Xenopus tropicalis: one gene and its partners. The protein of the gene in region 2 binds, or shares a complex with, the protein of the main gene of each other region. Links are inferred from orthologs where the notes say so. Each region holds a gene or a part of one and is shown on either strand. Other genes may lie near its edges.

Region 1 (3,947 bases), on a different chromosome or scaffold from region 2:
AGTTAATGAGTCCTGTGACACAAGTGATATCACTATGCACAGTTAATATAAAATCAAGGTTATTCATGGCTCTTGTGCTTTATACAGTGCTAAGCCAGATACAAAAGCGTTTTTTACTTCTTTGAGGCAAATCACCTTTGGATCACCTATAAGCGCAATATGAATAAGGTGACCAGTACGTGAATGTGATAAAAATAACCTCAGTAGTTAATTTACTCACTAAATCAACTTGACATCCTTCACACATCTAATTAAACACAAATTGGCACACTAGCACAGTTCCATGTACAATACAAAATGCAGCAATGTTTTTCTAAACCCATAGAAATAAATACACCATTAAAGCAAAAATATACTGCACTCCAGTTCTCCTCATAACCAACAGTTCCATGTTTTCATGATATGCACGTCTCACCTTGTGCAAACCAATAACTAGTAGAATTGATCAATCAAAACAATGTGCAGGTGTACAACCCACTGATCCATCAAAAGGTATTGTGTAAATGTTTAACCTGCAGCATATCCTTAAAAACTAGAATTATAACAAATTGAAAAAATTTACATGCACAAGCTTCATTTAACAGTCTCGCTGAAGTTTTCCATGGCCTGAGCAATTAATAAATTAACCAGCTTATATAGTACACAGTACTATAGTTGAAAACAGCTTTTAGTCTAATGAACCTGTTTAACTGCTAGCTCATCCAGAGGAAGGCCAAAAAAAAAATAAAATAAACGTTTTTCCAGTTTGCCTAAAAAATTATTTCCTGATTCCAAAGATCCTGAATTCCTGAACTATCCATTCAACACTCTGTAGAGTGTTAAGGGAATAAAAACAGCTCAATGCCCTAACTGTGGCTGTGTCTCTATTAGCAAAACTTTCCTTAAAACTTACCCATACTTTACCTATTATTGCACTGCTACAAAACTGCAATGTATCAGCAGTTATTACTGTTGAAAAATTGCAGCTCCTAAAATTAATAAGCACTATGGCTATGTCACGTGCTTGACATAAGAGTGAATGATTTACATGCTTGGTTAAATCTGAATGCATAAATGTAAACCAGATGGTTTAAGCCCCATATACAGTAAAGTGTTTGTTTTAACCAGGTTTCAGTTTTTTTTTTCCCCTACAATTTTTTACGTAAAAAACAAAATGTGACTTACATCCATCTATTTCCTCCTGCACATCCTCCTGGAACAGTGACAGATCTGAAAAGATTCAGAGTAAAATATAAGTGTGAAGAACAAACAGCCAGTAATCCTTGTCAGAGTCTGCAGTACCTGAAACACTTATACCCTCCTAGGAAGTGATCCCCAACCAGTGCTTCGTGAGCAACATGTTGCTCCCCAACCCCTTGGATGTTGCTCCCCAACCCCTTGGATGTTGCTCCCAGGGGCCTCAACTTAGGTACCCATTTTTGAATTTCTGGCTTAGGGGTGAGTTTTGGTTGCATAAAAACCAGTGTAAAGCCAAACAGAGCCTTCTATAGGCTACCAGTCCACATAGGGGCTACCAAATAGCCAATTGTAGCTCTTATTTGCACCCCCAGGAACTTTTTCCATGCTTGTGTTGCTCCCCAACACTTTTTCCATTTGAATGTGGCTCACGAGTATAAAAGGTTGGGGATCCCTGCTCCTAGGTGTATGTTACATAAACAATGTATGAACATTTCACAATAATTTTAGCTTACAATTCAGCATAGAAAGGTAACTATCACTGGATCTTACCAGTAACTAGATTTAATGTTTACATTTTAAAATTTGGTGTGCACACACACAAAATCTGCTGAATAAAATCATAAATTACTGTAACCTACATCCTGACATACGCATAAGGTACCACTACAGATTTCTGTTTGATTTTGGAGGGAAAGGAAGAAAATGTATAAATAGAACAAATTAGTACATTCATTGCTTCTCTAACTTTTTGCTGTAAAGCAGGCTCATCAATCCTGCAGCCCTTCAGCAGCTAAGGTAAATCAGAATAAAACTATAACTCCCAAATGCTGAGAGATGTTATGCTGCACCCTCTCACATTACTCTTAACACACAAAACATTTGACTAGACAAACCAACCTCAGTCTGAAATACCTGCAACTTAAATATACACGTTAGTAGAATTAGGTCTAAAACAAGTCTTAAATATGCACACACACACACAGGGCTGGAGTTGAGAGACTCGGGGCCCCATTTATAGAGTAAAATAACTATCATGATGTGCAAAAATAGCAACCCCAAAGTTGTTGTTGTAGTGTAGTACAATAGCCCAAGCCCCCCACACCAACATTAATGTGAGGGGGCTGCATGTAATTCATCCCTGACGTACATATTGAAACTAACTTGCAATTCCTGCACGGTATCACGTGTTATTGCCACTTGTGTTTACTTTTCCCCTGTTAATGCACTTCCTGTGGTTTGAGGCCCAGAATGAATTCCCTCACTGCCCTACACCGAATCCGAGCCTGCACCTACTCACACTCCCAGCACCCGCTTGTAGATGCACCCACTTTGTGGCAAAACAACCCACACTGAGCCCTGTCTCTCACCCGCCATCTTGTGCCTGGGGCCGCGCCGCTACATGGAGTCTCCAGCCAGTGCAGCGCCCACCTTGCCAGCGTGGGCTGGGTCGGAGTGCGAGGGCTGCCCGACACTGCACAATATCTCGGGCTTGTTGCAGCTTTCAGGCGGCTCCCCCCGGATCACACATCACATATTTCAGTCGAACACAGCGCGCCACCTCTTCCTGTGTGCAGAAGCCTCACTCCCTCTCTCACTCCCTCTCTCACTCACACACACTGGGAACATCCTCTTCCCGGCACTAACCTTGTGACACGCAGCGCCTCCTCTTCCTGTCCCTGCCTTATGTGCCTCGGTGGTACCTTACATAGCCATACGGGCAGCAACTCCTCTCCCAATGTCGGACTTTACTGCTCTGCCTCATGCTACCTCCGTGTGTCTCAGTGGAATACTGTTCATTAATCGACATTTAATAGTGCTAAATGAGTGTAGGGCTGGGTTTAGCCTGTAATAGAGAGAACATCATGTGGCCCCTATATTCGTTTGGGTCAAGTAGGTACTATATGTTTGTGGCAGTGTACAGAATCGTAGCTGGCTGCCGTACGTAACTTACGTGATGTCTCCATAAGTGGGAGCTTGAAACCTCACGTATTTGGAGGGGCCGCTATGGAAATGCTGACGTGTCTGCGCGTTAAAGCAGCACAAGGGAACACTAGTTGTACCTCGTTAGGTATCTAATAGGCACCAAGTACAATACACAATACTGTATATCGATATATTCCAAAAATACAGATGCATAAAGGAAAAGGCCTCCCAAGAGAGAAGATACTTATTTGTGGTCCTAGATATTCTAGTAAGGCAACTTCGGATGAATAATTATTTGTTAACTGGTGTCATTTATAGATCTATGGCTAAAGATCTCATACAAGGATGCTTATATGTGTGTAAAACGTGAAAAGTAACTCTTTGTATGCCAAATGTGGCTCTAAAAAGCGTATGTCACTTTCTTTGGTTCCAAGACTGGTAGAGGTGAACAATGGACATTTCTCACACTACACTACCCTCTTAGGGCTCTGGCACACGGGAAGAATAGTTGCCCGCAACAAATCTCCCTGTTCGCGGGCAACTAATCTCCCCGAAATGCCATCCCACCGGCGCAAATGTAAATCGCGGCGCGGACGTTGACTTGAGAGGAAACTTCCACGATTTCAGGGAAATCACGGTGCCACGTATGCCATCCCACCGGTGATTTACATTTTCGCTGGTGGGATGGCATTTCGGGGAGATTAATTGCCCGCGAACAGGGAGATTTTGGCCTCAGATCAAATGCACAGATAATTGCAGTCCACAGATATTGGGAGTTTTCACCTGCCCCAATTGATATTTGAACATGGGCCAGCTCTCCTATGTGTAGAAGTCCTAGTGCAAAA
Region 2 (4,213 bases):
ATGTCACTTTATGGCATATGTGCACTGTGTGTCACTTCCTATTTGCTGGTTCACTATGGATAAATAGAACATGGGTTTGGTTAGCATGGTTGCCTTGAGAAAGGTCCCGATGGGGACCGAAACGTAACGGTGGCTGTTCATGCGTTTTTAATACACAATTGATTGTTTTTGGAATATAACTCGGTGTTGCTGGTCTTTTTTGGATATATATAGTGATATTCTGAGACAATTAAAAAAATTTTTTTAAGTTATTTAATTTTCAGTTCAGCAGCTCTCCAGTATGGAGTTTCAGTTTGGTTGCTAGGGTCCAAGTTACCTTAACAACCAGAGAGTGGTTTGGATGAGAGACTGGTATATGAATAGGAGGAGGGCCTGAATAGAAAAGTTACAAAAAGTAACAATAAAACTGGAGCCTCACAGAGCAATAGTTTTTTTTGCTACTGGGGTCAGTGACCCTCATATAAAAACTAATAAATAATTCAAGAACTATGACAAATTAATAATGAAGATTAAAATGTTGCTTAGAAGTGGCTGCTCTATAACACCCTAAAGGTGACCCCCCCCAGGCAGACCCAGCCGGCCCATAAGGTGGCTCTGCAGAAGACTCACCGCGCTTTGGCACAAAGAGCTTTCACTTCGCTCTCCTTGATGAGCTCACAGCGCCTCAGCTGCTCGATCTGCCGGTCGAGGTCACTGATTTCAGTCATGGTCCCTCCTCAATGAAGCTTCACTAAAGGGAAAAACCGGCAATTTTACTTACTGAACAAAAAAGGGGGCTTATAGCAAAACTCAAAACCCCCCTAATCTCTCAGACCCCACCCCCAGGCATAATGGGGTCCTTCTACAGAGCCCACCCCCAGGCATAATGGGGTCCTTCTACAGAGCCCACCCCCTGGCATAATGGGGTCCTTCTACAGAGCCCACCCCCTGGCATAATGGGGTCCTTCTACAGAGCCCACCCCCTGGCATAATGGGGTCCTTCTACAGAGCCCCACAAGCTATAACATACCCCCACACTAGGGTCCTTATATTTGCCCCTAGCCATAATGGGGTCATTATACTTACCCGCCCCCTACACCTGGGTACTTACTGCCACTAATGCCCCAGCCTTTAGACCCAAATCCTCACCTCAGTTACATAAAAGTATTTATCCCCCCCCCCCAACTAGTGTATTTATACACCCTGTATGTGAATATGAATACCAACACTCCAGGCCCAATGGGGGTCCTTAGACAGACCCCACCCCCCCGGGCCCAATGGGGGTCCTTAGACAGACCCCACCCCCCGGGCCCAATGGGGGTCCTTAGACAGACCCCACCCCCCGGGCCCAATGGGGGTCCTTAGACAGACCCCACCCCCCGGGCCCAATGGGGGTCCTTAGACAGACCCCACCCCCCGGGCCCAATGGGGGTCCTTAGACAGACCCCACCCCCCCGGGCCCAATGGGGGTCCTTAGACAGACCCCACCCCCCCGGGCCCAATGGGGGTCCTTAGACAGACCCCACCCCCCGGGCCCAATGGGGGTCCTTAGACAGACCCCACCCCCCCGGCCCAATGGGGGTCCTTAGACAGAGCCCACCCCCCGGCCCAATGGGGGTCCTTAGACAGACCCCACCCCCCGGGCCCAATGGGGGTCCTTAGACAGACCCCACCCCCCGGGCCCAATGGGGGTCCTTAGACAGACCCCACCCCCCGGGCCCAATGGGGGTCCTTAGACAGACCCCACCCCCGGGCCCCAATGGGGGTCCTTAGACAGACCCCACCCCCCGGGCCCAATGGGGGTCCTTAGACAGACCCCACCCCCCGGGCCCAATGGGGGTCCTTAGACAGACCCCACCCCCCCGGGCCCAATGGGGTCCTTAGACAGACCCCACCCCCCCGGGCCCAATGGGGGTCCTTAGACAGACCCCACCCCCCCGGGCCCAATGGGGGTCCTTAGACAGAGCCCACCCCCCGGCCCAATGGGGTCCTTAGACAGAGCCCACCCCCCCGGGCCCAATGGGGGTCCTTAGACAGACCCCACCCCCCGGGCCCAATGGGGGTCCTTAGACAGACCCCACCCCCCGGGCCCAATGGGGGTCCTTAGACAGACCCCACCCCCCCGGGCCCAATGGGGGTCCTTAGACAGACCCCACCCCCCCGGGCCCAATGGGGGTCCTTAGACAGACCCCACCCCCCCGGGCCCAATGGGGGTCCTTAGACAGAGCCCACCCCCCGGGCCCAATGGGGGTCCTTAGACAGAGCCCACCCCCCCGGGCCCAATGGGGGTCCTTCTACAGAGCCCACCCCCCCGGGCCCAATGGGGGTCCTTAGACAGACCCCACCCCCCGGGCCCAATGGGGGTCCTTAGACAGACCCCACCCCCCGGGCCCAATGGGGGTTCTTATACAGGCCCCACCCCCAGGCATAACAAGTTGCTTAAACTGAACCCCACTACCTATAATGGGGTCCATATAGCGACCCACCCCCGCCCATAATGGGGCCCGTACCCCTGGGGTACCTACTCGCAGTAATGCCCCTCAGTGACACACAAGGATTAATATGGGAGTATGGGGGAGAGACGTATCCCCCCCCAGGTTCCCTCTCACATCGGACGGGGGACTCACACACAGCTCGGTGCCGATCCCCCACCCCCAGTTCCGGGCAGTTAGAAGCCGAGAGCGCACATCCGGGTCCCGGCGGCTCAGCCCCACACACGGATACACACACACACACGGGCTTCCGGTACACAGGCCGCCTTACCGGATCCGGGGAGCGGTGTGTGCGGGTCTCTCCCCCCGGAGCCTCCCGCTTCCTCCTCTCCACACAGCGAGAGCCAAACACCGCGAGAGTGTGACGTCAATGGCGCGTCTGCGAACTCCCAGCAGCCCCTGCGCGACCGCTCTCAGTCCCGCCCAATAGCCATTGCGACTGGCGGGAAATACCTTTGTTTGGAGTTTTTTTTTAACTGCAACTTTATTAACACAGATCGGGACACAAAGCGGACAGTATCACGTGACTGGGAGTTACAAGAGTGATGTTTTTGTAGCAAAGCAGTTGCCGCTCTCCCCCTTAACCCACAGCTAGGAGTGTTTGGTGTCTACACCAGGCTTATGGTGGTTGTCTTTTATTATTTCGTGAGATTTAACTCCTGTGTACATCATAGGAGGGCGGCAGAGCGGTTAATTTTGCCGGAGGCCTCTGCCGAGTGAGCCCTCCAATCAGAAACCTCTCGCCTGGGCAGCCCTCCAATCAGAAGCCTCTCGAATGGGGAGCCCTCCAATCAGAAGCCTCTCGAATGGGGAGCCCTCCAATCAGAAGTTTCTGAACAGGGAGCTTCTGACATGGGGGAGAAGCTTCCCATTCGAGAGACTTCTGATTGGAGGAAATCCCCCCAACCAGAAGCCTCTTACGTAGGGAACCCTCCAACCAGAAGCCTGCTGAATGGACAGCCCTCGCGTCAGAAGCCGTAAGATTTGGGCTACTAATTACAAGTACGAGTACAAACCCGCCAAGGTACAGATTTGGGCTATTTTGTGGAGCCTTGGTGGGTTTGTAATTTGGAAACTAGCCAAAGTTTTATTCCCCCCTAGTGTGCCTGTTCCACTGCATGCTGGGTAATGTAGTTTGTATCTAACAATTAGCCTACTGCTACGATTAATATAAAACTACAATACCCAGCATGCAATTGGACAGTATAGACAGGGGCTCTGTTTTCTATTCTTTTTTGCTGTTTCAGGCTCAACCTGTCTGCCCTACACCCTGCTCTATAGGGTATGTGATTGTACTATTACTTTTCTACTGGTGCTGCTGAGAGTTGTAGTTTAACGCACCCATATGTATATAGTGTCTGGGGTTAATGCAATATCAGCCATCCCAGTAACTGGGTAGTGATTATATAATTTTTATATTATATAATTTCTTTATTGCGCATATTGGGCTATTTTTGGGCTACTTTTAAAGTGGCTTTTGGCTAGTTGGAAAAATAAATCTGGCAACCCTGGAAGCCGCCAGCCTCGTTCAACCGCATTTGTGTCTGCCCGCCCTCTGAAAGGGCAATAGTAGTAATTAGTGAGGAGTCGAAAGGGTGGGGGCTGCCAGCGTTAGATGCCAGTGTGTAGGAGGGTCCTGCAGGGCAGGGCATTAACCCCTGAGCTGCTGTTAAAATGTATTTTGCTGATCTGACTAGAAAGTGCTGTATGGTTGCTAGGGTCCCACTCATCCTAGCAACTAG
Region 3 (3,514 bases), on a different chromosome or scaffold from region 2:
ATTAAACCTTTTTATATTACTGTACAAGGATTTTTCTAGCTCCTTTTAGGTTAAACTGCTCTTCTTGCCAGTCAAGCACATCTTTACCAGAGGGCAGTTTGTCCCCTGGCCCAGGCAATGGATCGCAATTGGTTCCTTGAGGGAATAAGCAAGAGCTGATGGTATTTACACACTGAAAACGTTCCTCCAGAAAATGGCCACTCATTTATTTTATCTGCCCACAATAAATCTTTACTACTGCAGGTGACTAATCTCCCCAAAATACCTTCCTACCAGCAAGAATGCTTATTGCCGGTGGGATGGCATATGTGCTGCTTTAGTTTTCTGAAGCTGCCCAAAGTTGCCTCAAGAGGAAACTCCGGCCTACTTCAGGAAACCGAAGTGACACTAATGCCATCCCACCAAGTGAAAATTGTGGCAGAATAATATGGACCACAGTAATAACAAAGATACTGCACATAAAAGATGTAAAAAGGTAAAAGTACAGCTAAAAATACAGGTGTGATATGGTTTCTCTTTAATGTCACATACCCCACAGACTGTAATATATATTTATATTTAAGTGTGAATTATTAGTTCCCTGTATTTCTACATAAGCTCCAATGCCAGATGGAGGCACAAAATGCTGTTCTCTAATTCTCTCCATATAAATGCTTGAACAAGAAAAGTTTCTACCCACCAAGTTTAACTTTAAATTCTGAGAATTTGCAATATTGAGACTAATTAAAAAAAAAAAAAAAAAAAAAGTGCTAAGAATAGTACATTCTGTAAAATACTAAATTAACTAAAAGGTGATCTACTCACTTTTACCAGTAGGATAGTTATGCCATTAACATGCTAGCATAGTTAACAAAGTACAAGGGCTGTCTTACGGCCTACTAAAGAGAAAAAGGGAGATATCACTTCTGAGTAGCGGAGCTTTCTGGAAAAAATGTTTTTGAAAGAATAGATTTCATTCAATATAGAAAATCCACAGTTATCGGTGCTGAAAAAGATTGGTGCATTCAAGACCATAAGAGTCAGAATTAACTTTGTCGCTGCCACATACAAAGAATGGACTCACCTTAGCAGATGCCACTGTGGTTGTCAAGCTTGTATTTTTGGAGGAAGATCCATTAGAACTTGCTGGTGGTGTGTGAGCTGCCACAGACTTGCTGTTTGTACTGTTTGCCCCATTAGCTGCACTAACTGAGTGAGAGAAAGTGAATTTAAACCCTCCAACAGATGTCCTCTTTGGAAGATTCTCTTTATCTTCAAGCTCTTTCGCTAAAAAACAAAACAAAACCCAAAGCATTAATATTAATAACAGATTAATAAAATCAGTTTTTGAGGCAAAAAATATTTTGCCTCTAAATGGATGTAATATAAAGAAAAAAATATATAGAGATTCAAGGGATTCGGTCATGATTTATGTGGTGTAGTTTTTACTTCTAAATTACACTGTGCACATTGCAAATAATTCACTCTACTATGTACTACTGAACCAATAAATGTTTTTTTAATTGTAATATTGGTGTGTATGGAGCCATCTCAGATCACTGTGGATGATCCTGTGCTTTCAGAAAGAGTCAGCGCGTCACAAAGGAACTGCTTTTTAGATTGGCTCCAATGGAAAGACTTGAGTTTTACTACTGAGTGGTATTCTCATATCTACCACAAGGGAAGGGGGAGCAGTAATCCTGTTACTTTTCTGTGATTTTGCAGATTTTCCCAGGGAAAGGGAGGGGGGAATCATTCCAACTTGCAGTGCAACAGTAAAAAGTGACTGGAGTTTATCAGAGCATAATTTACATGGCTGAGAGCACTTGGGAAATAAAACACGTCTAGCCCCACATCAAATTTCAAGACAATTTCAAGTGTAAAAAATAGCTTGCTCTTTTAAAAACAAAAGGAATTTCACTGCAGGATTCTGCTGGAGGAGCACTATTAACTTACGCATTTTATAAACAAAATTGCTGGCAAAATCTTCCCCCCCATAAGGCCACCTTGAGGTGGATGATATCAGGTTGATCCGATGGCCAAACAATCATCTCATAATTGCAGGCCATCATATCAATGACCACACCAACGTGCTGATCTTGGCCTCAATCTGAGTGGAAAATTAAACCTACCTATCTAAACCTTTTCTCTTGGCAATTTTTGCCTATAGATCAGTCGGGTAGGCCTCTAAACAGGCCAGTAAATTGCTGACTTCGTCCGCTGGCAGCTTCTACCGGCCTGTGTATGGCCACCTTAAGATAATACATATTCATGCCCCAAAGGTTTCCCAAATTTTATCAGCTTTAGGAAATTGAGTTCTGGGGTTAGAACTGCTGCACTACTTATAAAAATTAATTAGCGGTCAGTAACTCTTCTGCTGGTCATATTATAGAAGTCAACAGTGAGGCACAGAACAAGGAAAACCTGTAGGAGTTGAATCTACAGTGTTGTCACTATGGTAATTTAATATTGACACCGTACATTCTACAGTGAGCAATTCTAAAAAATTAAACACCTGTTGGCAGATATATTTAACAGCTACTACAGTTCAGTTGCTTTTATAATAAGGACAGTGTAAATGCTAAAATGTTTGCGCTTCACTTGTACACAACCACGGACTGTGCGGATTTGCTGTATTTCCTTGTTAAAGGGCAAAACCAATACCTTTTTTAGTTTCCAGAAATTTTTCATAACCTTCAGGAAAGTCATCCTCTGTTTTAGTTTTTTCAACAGGAGGTACAACTGCTTCCCCTTCCTCTTCCTCATCTTCATTAAACCACAACTCTTCATCATCCTCCAGTGCTCTCGCATCTCTACGAAACCGGTTACTACGCAATATAGATGGTACGCTAAGAAAACAGAAGGTAAAAATTATAACTTGCCTCTTTTTAAATACCAAGCTGAAATATGTACAAAAGCTTTCATTCCGTCACTCTGTACCATCATTGATGCAAGCATCCTTTACATTGACGTTACCCTAACGGTAAACCTTTTAAAGGCACATGACAAAACACCTACAAATACCCTTCCATAGGATATGCCGGTAATTTCTGACCCTGCAGGTGCAATATTATTGTAAAACGTTTTTTTTTTTTTGTAAACAAATACCTGATTCACATTTGCAATGTTAGGGTCGGTGCAAATACCTGCACAGCCTATGGAAAGGTATTGCAGATATTTTGCTGCCCACACACGAGAGAGTAAAAGCATGAGGGGCACACAAGCAAATGCCTGCACTGCTAAACTAAGCTGTAGTTCTCCTTTAACAGACCTTGTGTGTGCAAGATATCAACAGAGGTGAACTTTGCCAGGCCCCAGCTCAACCTGCACCAGGTTTACCCACTTATCTCTCACTTTTTTCCCCCCAACATATAATGGAACCCTAGAAAGACCAATCCAAATTATTAATCATTACCTGCTTAACTTCTGACTTTGACGATCCTTTTCTTGTTCATATCTCGTTTTCAATCCTTTAAATGTTTGAACATATTCAATGGATTCAAGTGCTTTGTAAAAATTTTCTACAATGTGTGAT
Region 4 (4,224 bases), on a different chromosome or scaffold from region 2:
CCTTTAAGAGCAAATTAAAGGAATATAGGCTATATTATTGAACATAATGTATTTTTATTTAGAAAAACATCTGATAATGTTGTTCTTGAAGAAAAAAAAATAACTTGACTAAGATAGGTGAGAGTATGGTGAAAATCTAGTGGAAACAGCCATTGACAAAATGACCCATTCTGTCTATCATTGTTCTAATTGTTTCCCAGCCCCATGTACCATTAATACTACCTAGAAGAAAAATATGGGTACATATATGTAGATGAAAAAAACAGTGGTGTGCAGACACAAGGACAAACTGACCATTATGGGCTATACTACCTTCCCAGTTAACTAATTAGCTGGATATACATATACTTTTTAGACATTTCCCCAAAGAAACTAAGCTATCGTCTGATAAAAACGAGCAAAAACCAATTTTTTTTCCTTGATACAATAACTTAAATAATGTTGGACAACAGATTTCAAAGGCTACTTAAAAATTATATTTTCCAAGTTGAAATATTTTACAGTGGAATATACCTGAGAAGGAATACAGCCCTTTCAATGTCATTTAGTTCTTCATCAACTGTTAACCTTTCAATTTCTTCAGGCGTCTGAAAAAAAAATATAAAACATATTTTCAGAATGATCTGTTATTTGTATATCCTTATGGGCCACTATACAGTAAACAAAAGGTCCAGATTAACTTTGGTTAGGGCATGGTAAAGCCTAAGATGGCCTTGAGTCATGGTTTCTTTTGATCAGATGACTATGATCATACTTATGTGCTTTCTCCTACCACAGCCATTCCTGTATAATTTAGTGGGCAGTTGTGCAAGAATGAAAATTCATGCTGAGTTAGAACTTCATATAAAGCATACACTAGAGAAAATAAAACAAGAAAAATCCACAATATTTCCAAAGGAAAAATTAAAATAAAGGTACTGTGGCCCATAAGGAAGTCTGTCCTTGACCAATGAAATGCATTGTGTCACTGCTGTTTTTAGCTCTGAAAGTGACTAGTGACATTAATGATTATCCTCATTTTTTTTTAGAACAGGGCTGAGGAGTTGGAAGCAATTTTGGGTATCTGGAATTATAGTTGGAGTCGGAGGTACCACAAACTAAGGAATTATTAGAGTGAGGGTCGAAGAATTTTTGTACCAACTCCACAGCCCTGCTTTAGCTTGGATATATTCTGCAGCACTACAAGGATTGATCATCACTGACATCAGTCCCTGCCATAGTGCAGTTTATAATGCCTATCACAGTCACACAAATAATACAAGCTGGGGTTGATGATGATGAGTCTGTGTGTTTTTAGAGGGTGGGACTGGGAGGAAACTGGACATTTTGAAATAAAAGAATGTAAATGGAAAAAAGTGTCACACAAAGAGCAAGCAAGCTTATATACTGCTGCTGGGGTGGTTTCTAGTGTTCCACATGATAGGCCACCAGTTGCCCTCAAATGTCTTTTAACAAACCCTGACTCTGGGATTTGTGGTGGGAAACTCATGTATGCAACCTTCAATCACCATCACAAATAGGTGGAACACAGAGCAAGAGTTGTTGAACTACAACTATATTGGACTCTCAGGTTGCTATTACAGATTCTAGCAGCAGTAGATCAACTATGACTGTGAAGTGTTAGTACCAGATCATCCTTTTCAAAGTGTGACTGAAGCAGGACAGAAAGTACAGTACAAAGGCGGTTAAGAGTAAGAACTAAATTGTGTTTGCTGCCCTGGAATCGAATGGTCGTTTCTAATAATAACTACAGATATATTTACCCTTGTATAAAACAAATAAATACAAATCTTCTATGGCTGATAATCAGTTTAGGTACAAGATGTACACTACTATCGACGCCCATGGTGTGTTCAGCTGAATTACTAACCAGCCTAACTGCGTGCTAATTTGAAATGGATCTGGATATAATGACTGGATCCAGCACCCCAACCGGTCTGTTCTACCCTGCGCCATCCTGTCCAAATGATACCTTGAGGCTTCTGCGGACCGGTCTCTCGATGATCGTCAGTCCCTCCAAGTCCTCTATGTAGCCAAACAAGCTGCCCTGGCTGAAATCCATCCTAAAGAAGCCGGTGGGATGCATGGGAGAATCTGCGAGTCTAACTGGGCAAAACATGAGTAGGCAAAGAAGCCAAGAGAGAGCTTCACATGGCAGCGCCCGAAGAAGATCCGAGCAGGGGAATGAGGGGCGGAGGCGGGGGGAATAGAGAAGGAGGTGCGAGGGGAAATCAGCAGCAGCAGCGCGATGCCATCGGGGGTAACTGGCAAGGGCTCAGCTGGCCCCACTGCTGACACACCTAGTATTGGTGCAGTGTAGGGAGTAAGGAGTGGTTAGCAGCCTGCTGCCGGATCCCTAATCCCGGGAGTGATGCCCTTGGGTGCCAGGCTAACACCTGCTTCTCTGATGCTCGCTGTGCTTCAGCCACCGCAACGACATTGACTTTACAAGAGCGCCATGCGTGGGCTGCCCACAGCTATGCCAGTCCTACGCGAGTCCCGTAGGCTGCAACATTCACACGCTGCCAGAAGCATTCATTGGAGCTGTCATGCGTGGGCAGACGCCTTCGCCTCCTCTTTTGCGTGGGATCCGTGGGCTGCCGCTTTCACCCAGTGCCAGGGACATGGGATCCCCTCAGCAGCGACACGGCGTATGTAGCGTTTGGCAGCGCGGCTGCAGGGACAGCAGGCGAGAGAGGGGTTTGGGGGAGGATCAGTATAAGCGGATCAGAGAGGCCAGAGAGCAACGCGTGCTATGGTGCTTCCCGTTCCCATAGCAACGCGCCGCTACAGCGAACCCCGCGGCGCAAACTTCCTCGCTGTGACGTCAGTATAGTGAGCGCCTTTCCCCCTCCCACCTGAAGGGACGGGAAACCCAAATGGTTCCACTACACTTCGTGCCCCTTTGGCCTTTCCCTGTCACCACTCACTCGTTATTTTACTTGGCGAGGGTAACAAGGTCACATGAGTACGCTCACAAACCCTGGCAACTTCTTTATATTGTATGAACGTGGCGATAAAAACAAGAAAAGTCGCAAATCAACAGCTGCTTCTCTCCCTGTGTAAATAGTCTTGGAAACCAATGGCCCAAAGTCGTTTAACCAGCTAGAATCCTCCAATCAGACATCTGTTTTAAGTAGTAGGACAGCCAGATTTCCTACAACCCTGATGGAAATAATGAAAATATTTACACAAAATGATATGTCTCTTGTAATGTAGTTTACTTTTCCCCAAAGGGTGCCCTATAATGCTAAAGGGCCCTGGGCAAAGTCATTTACTGCTAGAGGAACTTCTAGTCATGGGCGTCCGCAGAAAATTTTCCAACGGGGCGGGGGCAAGTAAGCTAGCATCATCCTGCAACAGACAAATATATATATAAATATATATATATTTTTTTTTTGCAGGATGATACTAGGGGAGGCTAAAGATGGCCCATACACAGACTGACCTACAGCTAATGTGACACTTAGTGGATTCGCTGCTGGCGTAAAAAGTTAACCTCCCAACTACCTCTTGCCGTTCCCACTGACTCCCAGGGGTACTGTACAAAAGTGCGGGTGGGGGTGCTTTTTTTTTTTACCCTAAAATGTTTAGTATGTAAAAGTATTTATAAGTGCACTTCTGTTAGGGGATCTGCAAACATTTGTGTTTGTGATCAGTTAGCTTAAAGGGCTAGTTCGCATTCGAATTCACTTTTATTTTTAATGGTTTTTCAGTTATTTAGCTTTTTGTTCAGCAGCTCTCCATTTGGTATTTCAGCAGCTATCTGGTTGCTAGGGTCTTATTTACCCTAGCAACCAGGTAGTGGTTTAAACAAGAGATGGGAATATGAATAGTTAAGGGGCCTACTTGGAAAAATAAGTAATACAAAATTATAATAATAATAAAATTGTAGCCTCACAGAGCAATATTTTTGGCCCCCATTTGAAATCTGTATAGAGGCAGAAGAGAAAGGCAAATTATTCAAAAAAATTAATTAGGAAGACCAATTGCAAAGTTGCTAGGAATAGGCCATTTTATAACATACTAAAGGTTAACTTAAAAGTGAACCACCCCTTTAGATGTGTTTATGTTAGTTTTATAGCAAGAAAGGCAGTGGGTACTGACTCCCCATTATATACAGTGAGACGCAGTCCGTATTTACAAACCCAGCACATTATATACAGTGAAACACAGTGGGTACTGATGGCAGATATTCAGGCCCTGGCACTATAACACTGGCAC
Region 5 (3,514 bases), on a different chromosome or scaffold from region 2:
CATATCCTAACCACCCTGCCTCACAAGTATTGCCTGTGATCTGAGATTCAAGGCATTACAGTGGCACAACACTGGTAATCAGGATCAGGCTTTTTTTTTTTTCTAACTTTTACTCAGAGAATTTCAGTTTTCTATTATCCAGAGCAGCATGTTATCTGCAACCCAAGAAGTTTTACTACCAATGTTCCTTTTTCGGGTGTGAGATTACGGGTTAGGTGCTTATTTACTTTCTTTAATATATGTGGGGGCCCACTTTGAAAGGCCACTTGACATTTATATGAAAATAATAAATTGTTGGTGAACTTTGTATAAAATACTTGCGAAAAAAAAAGCTTTAGCTCCAAGTTGTTGCTCTGTGCTGCAACCAAATACAATTTTTTTATTAACATATATATCATACAGAAATTGCAACACTGCAAGTGGCTTTTAATATAATAACATTCATGTTACAATATACAATTCATGTATAGGGCAAAGTAAATGTGATGTGGCTATTGCTTGACTTCCGATTTGAACCAGAAGTTAGTTTAATGCATTCCTTAGAGTGTTCAAAGTTAGCTTGTGAGTATTTTTGTGCCAGTTCAGGGAAGGGGATGGGGACAGAGGGCTTCTCTTCAAAAATTGCCCATACACGGTAAGATCTGCTCGCCTGGCGATATTGGGCCAATTCATCATTTGGCCCTAGGGCCAGACAATTCAATTAAAATGATGGATATAGGTGCTGTTGGCAACAGAAAAATAAAACCTGTCTGTTGAAACCTGGCCAGATGTTGGTAGGGGAGGCCCATTGTGCCCATACACAGCCAGATATGGTGCTGAATTGGGCTAAAGGTAGATAGTGGCAGCTAAAATCAGCCCACGTATGGCCACCTTAAGTCTGCGAACCTGCATTTACTGGCTGAGCTTGTACAAAAAGAGGGAGTTGGAGCTGCAAGAATATTTTTAATGTAAAATATTTGTGTTTCTATTCCTTCAAGCTGGCGATATACTGAAATATATGCTTTTTTTTTTTTTTAGCAAGGTCACCTTGAGGTGGGCAATATCAGGCTGATTTGATCGTTTAGCCCAAAAAAATATTTTGTACCATTTAATTTGTAAATGTATGGCCACCTTAACTATGAATCATACATTTAGTGAATGTATCAAGCTAAGTAAAGCTTGAAAACGCAGATACTTCTTGGGTTACTAAAGCACAGCTGCAGTGCAGCTAGACCAGGGATCCAACCTTTCATACCTGTGAGCCACATTTAAATGGAAAAAGTGTTGGGGAGCAACACAAGCATGAAAAAGTTCCTGGGGGTGCCAATAAGAGCTATAGCAGCCTACAGAAGGCTCTGTTTGGCATTATACTTGGTTTTTATGCAACCAAAACTTGTCTCCTTACCAGAAATTCAAAAATGCACACCTGCTTTGAGGACACAGGGTACAACATCCAAGGGGTTGGTGAGCAACATGTTGCTCACGAACCACTGGTTGGGGAACACTAAGCTATACAAACTTAAGTACAAACAACTCAAAAGAATGGTAGGCAACCCTACATAATGCTTTAAAATGCAACAAAATAACAGAACTACTAAGAACTGGTTTGGTGGAATAGGAAAAAATACAAAGAAAAAAATTAGAGAAAGAGTGCATTGAGTATGATCTTGTTACAAATAAATGTTTTTGTAATAAACACCTAATTAAAACATAAAACTGAGATCATGGCTTGGAAAAAGACACTATTTAAAGGGACAGATTTACTAAGCTTCGACCATTCTGGTAATCGATTGCAACTTCCTGAACTCACTGGAGTTTTCAGCAATTGATTTGTTTCACTTGTTTTTTTTACTTTTGCAAGTAGGCTTTTGACAAACTAAAAGCTCAACAGGTTTTTAGCCACCACTGTGTTAAACCGGTGTGTACATTTGGGGCGTTGCCTTCATCACACGAGGTTTTGAGGTCGTTACAGCTTTGACATTTTATGAGAAAAACAATGGAGAAATCTTCCTTGTCCACTGCCAAAAGACTTTAATAATACCCTAATACCAACCTAATAATAATACAATATCAAATAATATAATTTAAAAAAAAACTTAACAGCTTTCTTCTTGATTAGCTAAAAACATTTATATTAGGCTTGCAGCTATATTACCACATTTCTGCAAGTAATTACTTTACTGATGAAGTTGGATACTTACATCATCGTTCTGCTGTGCCTCTTGCATTACAAACTCTCGCACCATAGATGGATTATATTCTACCAAGTAGGAGAAAATGTCGGTGGCAGCACTTCGAACCTGTGGATCATCCATGCCCTATTTGGTTAAACAACAGGACCCATCTTACATTGCTGTATTAATCAGACTAGCAGAAACTGCCTAGCATTTCCATATTGAAACTTTATATGCTGAATATCTTTACAAAAGATATGTGGACTAAAACAGGTTAGCCAATAAATCACTCAAAATAATAGAAAAAATCTACCTAAATTAAAGTTTGATAACTATGCATTAACATTCATATAATTTAAAAGTTTAGAATGAGGAAGGTAAAACACCAGTGCTACAGCTCAAATGATTACCTTTCAAGTGTTACAGAAGCTAGAGAGTTTTACAGAGTAAATATAAGGTAAAAAAAGTATAAATGCAGCATGCAACCGTGTACAACATAAGTTACACATTATTTTCACAAAATCTATGAAGTTGTCAAACTTGTGACAGAGGTTTCACTGAACAGATAAGAAAGTTTGTAATCTGAACAAAAAGGATTGCTACTTACTAAAATTACTTCTAAGGCCGGAAGGATACCCATGTTTGACAAAGTCTTAAAGAAAGCATCTCTATTTTGGGGTTGTAGCGTCTGAGAGAATGCACAGAATTCCTTTAGAAAGTTAACCTGAAATTAAGGTAAAAAACATTTCAAAATAAATTCTGGTTCATTTTCTTACATAGTTACATATGGTTGAAAAAAGACCAGAGTCCTTCATGTTCAACCCTTATAAGTTAACCCAGCACACACAACCTATACTTACCAATCTATACACTCACATACATAAACTATATATATATATATATATATATATATATATATATATATATATATATATATATACACATACATACACACAACTACTAATACTAACTGTAGATATTAATATCACCATAGCCTTGAATACTATGCTTGTTTAAGAACTCATCTCTACACAAGCATAAGCAAACTATTAAAGCTATAAACAATTTTTTTCTGATTGAAATGAATAGCAACCACCTTTCACCAGTCATGCCCAGAACACTCAAGGAGCGGAGAAAAATTAGAAATAATATGTTACTGAGATAATATACATAAATATAATTAAGACAGCACAGCAAATAAATGATCCAGCATTAAAACGCCTAAGTGGAAACAGGTACTTCTCTACCAACAGAAATATGCTGCTAGGCAAATGACAGTGCTTCACGGGCCTTAGTAATACATTTAATATTTCTCAGTGCCTTCTGAACAGTTGAATTGTACAAGATGTGTTTCTTGATTT

Evidence for each region.
Region 1: ppp4c (region 2) and ppp4r1 share a complex: the UniProt entries of both Homo sapiens proteins name them as parts of the PP4 complex. The link is inferred for Xenopus tropicalis from reciprocal best matches to the Homo sapiens genes PPP4C and PPP4R1.
Region 3: ppp4c (region 2) and ppp4r3b share a complex: the UniProt entries of both Homo sapiens proteins name them as parts of the PP4 complex. The link is inferred for Xenopus tropicalis from reciprocal best matches to the Homo sapiens genes PPP4C and PPP4R3B.
Region 4: ppp4c (region 2) and ppp4r4 share a complex: the UniProt entries of both Homo sapiens proteins name them as parts of the PP4 complex. The link is inferred for Xenopus tropicalis from reciprocal best matches to the Homo sapiens genes PPP4C and PPP4R4.
Region 5: ppp4c (region 2) and ppp4r3a share a complex: the UniProt entries of both Homo sapiens proteins name them as parts of the PP4 complex. The link is inferred for Xenopus tropicalis from reciprocal best matches to the Homo sapiens genes PPP4C and PPP4R3A.

Annotation. Positions count from the first base shown.
Region 1 is NC_030682.2:104,631,165-104,635,111, forward strand, and holds the start of ppp4r1 (serine/threonine-protein phosphatase 4 regulatory subunit 1), read right to left. Parts: upstream 2,806-3,947; 5' UTR 2,554-2,805; coding exon 2,547-2,553; intron 1,210-2,546; coding exon 1,165-1,209; intron 1-1,164. UniProt on the Homo sapiens protein: Regulatory subunit of serine/threonine-protein phosphatase 4. May play a role in regulation of cell division in renal glomeruli. The PPP4C-PPP4R1 PP4 complex may play a role in dephosphorylation and regulation of HDAC3.
Region 2 is NC_030685.2:2,452,949-2,457,161, forward strand, and holds the start of ppp4c (serine/threonine-protein phosphatase 4 catalytic subunit), read right to left. Parts: upstream 2,810-4,213; 5' UTR 2,743-2,809; exon of another isoform or gene 2,505-2,742; intron 731-2,504; 5' UTR 708-730; coding exon 610-707; intron 1-609. UniProt on the Homo sapiens protein: Protein phosphatase that is involved in many processes such as microtubule organization at centrosomes, maturation of spliceosomal snRNPs, apoptosis, DNA repair, tumor necrosis factor (TNF)-alpha signaling, activation of c-Jun N-terminal kinase MAPK8, regulation of histone acetylation, DNA damage checkpoint signaling, NF-kappa-B activation and cell migration.
Region 3 is NC_030681.2:35,555,396-35,558,909, reverse strand, and holds part of ppp4r3b (serine/threonine-protein phosphatase 4 regulatory subunit 3), read right to left. Parts: coding exon 3,395-3,514; intron 2,829-3,394; coding exon 2,644-2,828; intron 1,267-2,643; coding exon 1,064-1,266; intron 1-1,063. UniProt on the Homo sapiens protein: Regulatory subunit of serine/threonine-protein phosphatase 4 (PP4). May regulate the activity of PPP4C at centrosomal microtubule organizing centers.
Region 4 is NC_030684.2:88,192,228-88,196,451, reverse strand, and holds the start of ppp4r4 (serine/threonine-protein phosphatase 4 regulatory subunit 4), read right to left. Parts: upstream 2,807-4,224; 5' UTR 2,120-2,806; coding exon 1,973-2,119; intron 588-1,972; coding exon 514-587; intron 1-513. UniProt on the Homo sapiens protein: Putative regulatory subunit of serine/threonine-protein phosphatase 4.
Region 5 is NC_030684.2:87,115,056-87,118,569, forward strand, and holds part of ppp4r3a (serine/threonine-protein phosphatase 4 regulatory subunit 3A), read right to left. Parts: intron 2,878-3,514; coding exon 2,761-2,877; intron 2,298-2,760; coding exon 2,181-2,297; intron 1-2,180. UniProt on the Homo sapiens protein: Regulatory subunit of serine/threonine-protein phosphatase 4. May regulate the activity of PPP4C at centrosomal microtubule organizing centers.